Caenorhabditis elegans: one gene and its partner. The protein of the gene in region 1 purifies or fractionates together with the protein of each later gene. This does not show direct contact. Each region holds a gene or a part of one and is shown in the gene's direction. Other genes may lie near its edges.

Region 1 (3,755 bases):
AGAAATACGAAGAATTTGCAATAAAGTCAAAGTGCGGCACAGAAAAATGGGCGGAGTTAAGACACAAAAACGCGGTAATTCAAATTTGCCAAAGTCCACTGTTTTTTCAAACAATTTTGGCGTATTTTAAACCAAAAAAATCTGCGTTCGGGGGGAATCGAACCCCCGTCGAATGCTTGGAAGGCATCCATGCTGACCATTACACCACGAACGCGGCGGGTAACCGGGGTCTTAATGGGCTTGATGTTGCGGAAGAGAGACCCCCGACAACTGTCAGTTTTATAATGGCTTCCTGGAGGCAAGTATTTCGTCGCGTTCGTGGTGTAATGGTCAGCATGGATGCCTTCCAAGCATTCGACGGGGGTTCGATTCCCCCCGAACGCATTATACATTTTTACATTTTTCTTTTCGATATTCAGGCTAATAATTAACCTTTTCCAGGGAATCATATGTCACCGTCCTGCACACATCAAGAATAGTGGAAGATCAGGAGAGATCGCAGTTCCACAGACTCCATTCCAACAACTTGGCTCAAAATCAACAGCTGGCCCATCCACAGTCACATCGGATCAAGCTTTCGTCCGTCAACCCAGGCCTGAAGCGGCCCGCTTATTCTCCGGACCAGTTCATCAGCTCCCTCCAATCTCGTTCATCGCTCCACTTTTTATCGAAAAATCGTTGCTTCCACCGCCTGTACGTGGTGTCTAGAAGCATCTAGAACACTTTCTGATTCATCGCTCTCTCTTTTTGTTTTTGGTTTTTTTTTTTCACAAGTTTCAATCATTTTTTATTGTTGCCTTTCTTTTTTTCAATTTTTTTCCCTTCCACATATGCTACAATCCTTTTGTTATCACACACACACATTTGTTATCGTTGTTGATTTTATTTGTTCATGAATTCGTTTTTTTTAAATTTTTATTTATTTTGCATGATTTTCTTTCAAAACGTACCTTAAAAAAACAGAAAAAATTTCAATGAAATATTAAACTTGTCCGAGAGAAGTACACACGTTTCGCGAAAATGCACAGACTGTCAACTACCGTAATCGGCATAGGCGTAGGCTTAGGCTTTTTCTCATGTTTAGTCTTAGGCCTAAAATTAGGTTTAGGTGTAGGCTTAGGCGTAGGTTTAGGCTTAGGTTTAGGCCTGGACTTAGGCCTGAGCTTGGTCTTAGGCTTAGGCAGGCCATAAAATTTCTTGTGAAGTCTACAGAAACTCCAAAGAAACCAGTAGAAGTAGAGGTGGAAATTAGGATCGGGCCTTTGCCTGAGCCTAAGCCTAAGCCCTTGCTTAAACCTAATTTTGAATATCAGCCTAAACCAGACAAGCCCAAGCTTAAGCCTAAGCTCAAGCCTGAGCCTAATCTTAAATCTAAGCCTACTGGCAAGTCCAACTCTAGGCCTACTTTCAATCGGGCTTTATCAGCAATTAAAGATTTAATATCTAGAGAATGATGGCAAATACTAACATTTACTTTTATTTTTCAAATTTATCACTTCACTTTCAACACAGACACAGTTGAGTTGCTCAAAAGTTGCAAAGAGTCAATAGGTCAATAATACAGGTTTTTGTGTATCCCCCATCTCTCTCTCAAGTGTCAATCACTTTCAACCGTTCCCTTCCAAAAAAAAAAAACGAAAAAACGTTCTGGAATGTTCTGTGCTCGAGCTCTCACTCTCTTGTTGTTTCGAAATTCATCCCCTCCTTGGGGCTCTGACTCCGCCCATTGAAATTCGGGGGCTCACCTCCCGCGGATGAGTCGGCTCTAGCGTCCACCCACACGCGCAAAAATCAACACTAACCTTTTGGAAATAGTGTACAGATTCGACGAGACGCAGACAGTTTAGTCAAGAATATAAATAGGAGCTCGGTGAGCAAGATCCTAGAGTCAGAGCTCGACGAGCAACAAGACAGGCACAACCAGTTTTGCCACCTCCTTTGTTTTAAGTTTCGAAAATCTTCGAAATTTGATTTTTCTTACTGATTTATACTTTTATACTCTACTTTTTGTTGAAAATTTTTGCCTAAAATTTGAGACTTTCTAGCAAAAATGTCACAAAGTTATCATCGACCAAGACCAGCCGGTATGGCCGGAGCCATTTTGGACAAACAGGCAAGCAAGTTCAATGATGTTGAAGCTGGATACTTGTTGGAATGGATTCGGGTAAGATTTGGGTAGATTTACGGAGTTCAGTGTGGATTTACTAGAGAGTGATGTAGTTTTACTTTATATGGAATTACAAAAGTTTAATGTCTACATATATACATGTAGATTTACGAAGCTCCACATAGATTTGTAAAGTTAAGTGTATACTTACGGTCAGTGAAATGTAGATTCACAAGACTCTGTGTAGATTTATGCAAGTTCAGGTAGATATACGTGATAACATTGTACATAGATATCAGGTAGATTTACAAAACTCCATGTAAGCCTATAAAGTTAAGTGTAGAATTGCCGCTTCAGATTTACAGATATATGCGTAGATTTACGATGATTCATGTAGCTTTACGGAGCTTTTGTAGTATTCACAATTTATTGTAGATTTACGGAGCCTTTTGTAGATTTACAGAGTTTCTTCAAGATTTACTCATCCCCCTGAAAAACACCAATATAATTTCAAATTCTTTTCAGGACTTGACAAAAGAGGATTTCGACTGTGAAGCATCTCGGGACAATTTTCGCGAGCAGCTCAAAGACGGGCAACGATTGTGCAAGTGAGTGTCTTTTTTTTGTCTATTTGTACGTAGAGTTGGGGGATGCAAAATGTCAATAATAATCACGAACTGTTTGGGAAATGTGAGATGCTCTGTGAGCTTAAGGTGATGTGATTTTGAGATTTTATTTTCTGTTTTGTGATTATGTTTGTTTGAACACTTTGGATCCTATTTTCCTAGAACCTAGAACAATAAAGTCTCTAAAAAAAACTGTCTTTACCAGACTTTGTGTTTTTACGAAAAGTTTACGAAAAGTTCATGTAGATTTACGAAAGTTCATGTAGGTTTACGGCTTACAAAACTATGTAGATTTACGGAGCACCTAGCTTTACGAATGAGCTATTTACAGTAACCCTATTCCAGACTCGTCAACGCCATCAAAGCAGGAAGTGTGAAGAAGATCATGAAGCCAATTTCCAATTTCAACTGTCTCGAGAACATTAATCAATTTTCCACTGCCGCCAGAAGTCTCGGAGTCAAGGATGAAGAGGTTTAATCTACCATATACTTTTGGCGCGATGTTCAAAATTCAAATCTTCATTTTTTCAGACATTCCAATCTGTCGACTTGTTCGATGGCCGTGACCTTTTCTCCGTTACAGTAACCCTTCAGAGCTTGGCTAGAAAGGTAATAATTTGGTTTTCATTTGCAAATTGATTTGAAAAACTCCAAATTTCAGGTCGAAAAGCTCGGAATCACGCCACCAAAGCAAGTTTCCAAGGACCAAATCGTCAATCAATAATTTAAATTTTTTCCATTTCATATCGGCTTCAATCTTTTTTCGAAATTTACTTTTATTCACTTTCTGTTCCCAATTCACTTTTTATAAAGATTTTTCTTCCAAATTTTTTCTGAAAAGTTCTGCAATGCCGCCAAGGATTTTCCTGCTGATTTACGGTGCTCAATGTAGATTTACGGGGCTCTATGTAGATTCACGGGGGTTCATGTAGATTTACGAGGATCCATGTAGATTTACGGCGCTCGATGTGGATTTACGGGGCTCTATGTACTTTTACGAGTCTCCTTATAGACTGCGTAAC
Region 2 (3,755 bases), on another chromosome or scaffold:
GGAATTCGATTTATGACTCGCAAACACCAAATGGAAGGTAAATCTAAAAAATGTAAATTCTTTCATTTTGGCGCCAGAAAACTTTCGTACAAAAAATGTAGGAACACTGCAGAAAAATAATTTTTTATCCAGACAGTGGTTTTCTTAAAAAAAAACTTCGTACCTATAATTAAATTCTGATACCTCAAAAATTGAAAAATCGACCACACAACAGCTTCAGGACCCCTGAGGTTTTCAAAAACTTTACAAAAATTTACCATACTTTTAAAATAAGTATCAGATTGTTTAAATATTCAAATAACATTTAATTATGTAATTTGATGAAGAAGAAGTTTTTCTCTGAAAGATTCCTGGTCACGAAACATTTACAATTAACCATAAATCAAAAATTCAAGTCAGAAAAGTACTTGAACACGACCTTCTGGAGAAACGATTTCTGAGAAATAAGGAAATTGGGAAACTTGTGTACCCCGATTGATCAAATTAGCAGGTTTGTGGAAATGTATTACATCAACGATCAAATGTTTATCGGCGTGAAACAACTACCGCGCGGCTCATTTTATTGAACTTTTTGGCGAGTTCAGTCACATTTTGAAAGCTTTTACTTCTGAGTTTCATAAGTATGTAGTTTTTTGGAATATAACTAAATCTATTGGTTTCCAAAAAAATCTACTTAGATTTGGTAGAAAGTTCAATTTTTCTAGATTTGTTAGGTCGTCACTAAGTTTGCAAAAATAGCATAAATTTATGACATTTTCGAAGTTTGTTTGCATTTTTCTCGCTTCGGCAGCTAAGAAGCCACAGACAAAACACAGCAGGATACCTGATTTCTACTGCGGTGTAGTAGATTTCTGGTCAAATTAGAAGTCGAACAAATTATGAGGATCTACTTTTTTCAAACAACTATTCGAACTGAATCCGCTGAGTTTCTTCTAGCAATTCCTACAATTGTTTTTTTTGACATGTACCCCAAACCTTTGATTTTCAATTTTGACTTCATCTTCAGCACCGACTACTCTTAGTCCTTTCTTAGCCCGATAATTTGGATCAAACGTTACTTTTAGGTGGATAAGAAGCTCAATTTTTTTGAATAGGCCCTTGTTTGAATAGAATTAAAACCAAGTTTTTGTCCAATTGATAAATTTCCAGCTGTTGAACCTAGGATTCTGAAATGTTGAAATAAAAAGGTTTCTGTAAAAATTGAAGAACTAATTGTAAAGATTTTTCTGGTAAAGCCTCTATTCCGGACAAAAAATCAGGAAAGATGTGGGGTCCCATTTACTTTCCAATTAACCCGGGAAATGTCCGCTGCAAGACATCAGTTTTTTACACTTTTTTGCCGTATTGTTTTGCATCGCCAACCTAGATGATCATTTGATCTGTCACAAAACACATTTCCCTTTTTAAATGTCCCTAATCACTAACACAGCATTTAGCATTACATCGAAACTCCAAGTCAGAGCCTCCTAGAAAAATAAATTTCCGAGAAAAAAAAATTGAAAACTCCGCACCTCAAATTATCAAATTAGCAGGATTACGGTGGTATTACATCAACGATCAAGAATTTTTCGGCGCGTCCAACTCTACCGCGCGGATCATTTTACATGCAAATGGGGCTTTGAACTTTTAGGCTCTGGTTTTCTGGCTTTTTAAGGAATTTTTCTTGTAACGCTTAGCTTGTGAACACTTTCGGAATTCCTATCGAAACCTATTATATTAAACATCTTCCAGGAAACCAATGGCATGGCCAGACAACAACACCTCAAACTGCCGGGAAACCTACTCCTATTTTGGCTCGGCAGACTATCTGCGCAATGCATATCATTTCACAGCACTTTTAACAGTTCCTCTATCCATATTCACATTTTACACAGTTATAACAAAGACGCCAAAGCGGATGAAAAATATGAAAATCCCACTTTTAATATCCCTGGCTTGGAGCACAAATCTCGATTTGATGTTCACAGTGTACTCGGGGCCGTATATATTTTTTCCGAGTGCCTCCGGAGTACCCCTTGGGCTTCTAGGATATTTGGGAGTAGGTGTCAAGTGGCAGTCGTATTGGGGACAGGTTTCCGTCACTAGTAAGTTTTAGGATCTTTTAGGAAATTTAAATATAAATTTCAAATACCACATGTTTTTCAGTGATGGGTGTCTGTTTTATAATGCTCTATGAAAATCAACATAGTCAAATTTCCACGATTCGATTCAAAATCAAACGGAGAAAAACTCGTTTAACATATTTCGCATTAAACTATTTATTCACATTTGTTGTTATGCTTCCATTTTATCTAGACGACACTGACCAATTGAAAATGAGACAGAAGGTCTTGGAGGTTAGTAAAATGTACTAAAATGCCCATTCAGAGATATTAGAAATGTTCAAAAAATTTTATAAAATTTTATATTTAAAGTCAAAAATGTGAAAACTCTCAGTTTTCACATATCCTAATTTTGGAAGTCGACCAAAAGATTTTTTTTGAATTAATTGCGTTCTTATTAATAATATTGAAACATTCTAGGAGTTCAGATCTGCGGGAATTTTCAATTTTTTTCAAAAATGTCAATTTTTGAATAACTAAAAACTTTTGAAGTGTTTATTATATTTTTCGGTCGTGTGTATTTAACACCCGTCTTCAAATTCAACTTAATTTTACAGAGAATCCCCTGTCCGACGAGCGAATTCTGGGACCCAAAAACCTATGTACTGCTGCAGGGCGGAGAGGTCTTGCCATTCTGGTCAATCACAATTGGTTTTGGATTTGTTATTTTCCAAACTTTTTTCTTTTTGTTACACACCGTTTATCACCTCACACTAGTATCAAGTGCCAAAATATCGGCGGCGACGAAGAATCTTCAGCGAAAGTTTCTGAAGAATGTTTCTATTCAGGTGAGTATAACTATAACTGAAAATTAACTGGAATAGCCAAATGAAACTGCAAAAAAATGCAAAAAAAATTTAAATGGGTTTGTTTCAATTTTAAAAATTTAAAAATGTTTTTGACAAATTGAAAAACCACAAAATTTTTAAAATTTTAAACATTTAATTCTAGCATGTGTTTTTTTAGATCTCAATTCCATGGATTGCCATTGCATTTCCTGTGGCCTACACTATGTATGCAGACAAAATGAATTACTATAATCAAGGTGAGAAAGTGCAAATTATTTAAAAAAGCCAAAACATGGCTAACACGTTCCAAACTTTTGCAGCCTACAACAACAACGCTATGCTAATTATGGCAAATCACGGACTTCTATGCACCTGTTGCACCCTTTTTATTTACAAACCATACAGAGATTTCACTAAAAGTCTGATCCCTGGACAACGATTTTCACAACGGAGAATGACTATCATCGTGGAACCTGTGACGTCTCCACATGGAAGTGTGTCTAATTAGTTTTTTTTAAATTTTCGTTTTATTTGCCAAGCAAGATTTTTTTACAAATATTTAGTAAATATGTTTTTTTTGGACAAAACTTGACTATTTTCACTCGGGAAACAGATGCGCATCTTGCTAGTGAGAGCCATTTTGGCAATTTTGGCATATTCATCAATTTTGAAAAATTTTGGCAATTTCACGAATTTCAGCAATTTTGACAATTTATCCATATCGGCAAAGTTGTCAATTTTGGTAATTTCGATAACTCTAGGATTTCTGACAATTTTTTTCAATGTTCGCAAATTCAAACTTTTTGGCAGTTTTAAAATATTTGGGCAATTTGGACAAACTTAGAACTTTCACCAATTTCAGCAG

Evidence for each region. The genes of interacting proteins can lie anywhere in the genome.
Region 2: the proteins of cpn-4 (region 1) and srh-56 fractionate together in Caenorhabditis elegans (co-fractionation; one large-scale study listed by BioGRID). This does not show direct contact.

What each region holds. Positions count from the first base shown.
Region 1 is NC_003279.8:10,924,042-10,927,796, reverse strand, and holds cpn-4 (Calponin-homology (CH) domain-containing protein), read left to right. Parts: upstream 1-2,046; 5' UTR 2,047-2,050; coding exon 2,051-2,164; intron 2,165-2,632; coding exon 2,633-2,715; intron 2,716-3,078; coding exon 3,079-3,205; intron 3,206-3,264; coding exon 3,265-3,342; intron 3,343-3,394; coding exon 3,395-3,457; 3' UTR 3,458-3,557; downstream 3,558-3,755. Other genes in the region: F49D11.10 (WD_REPEATS_REGION domain-containing protein), read left to right, coding at 442-708.
Region 2 is NC_003283.11:2,770,122-2,773,876, forward strand, and holds srh-56 (Serpentine Receptor, class H), read left to right. Parts: upstream 1-1,738; coding exon 1,739-2,084; intron 2,085-2,145; coding exon 2,146-2,336; intron 2,337-2,659; coding exon 2,660-2,890; intron 2,891-3,068; coding exon 3,069-3,147; intron 3,148-3,210; coding exon 3,211-3,398; downstream 3,399-3,755.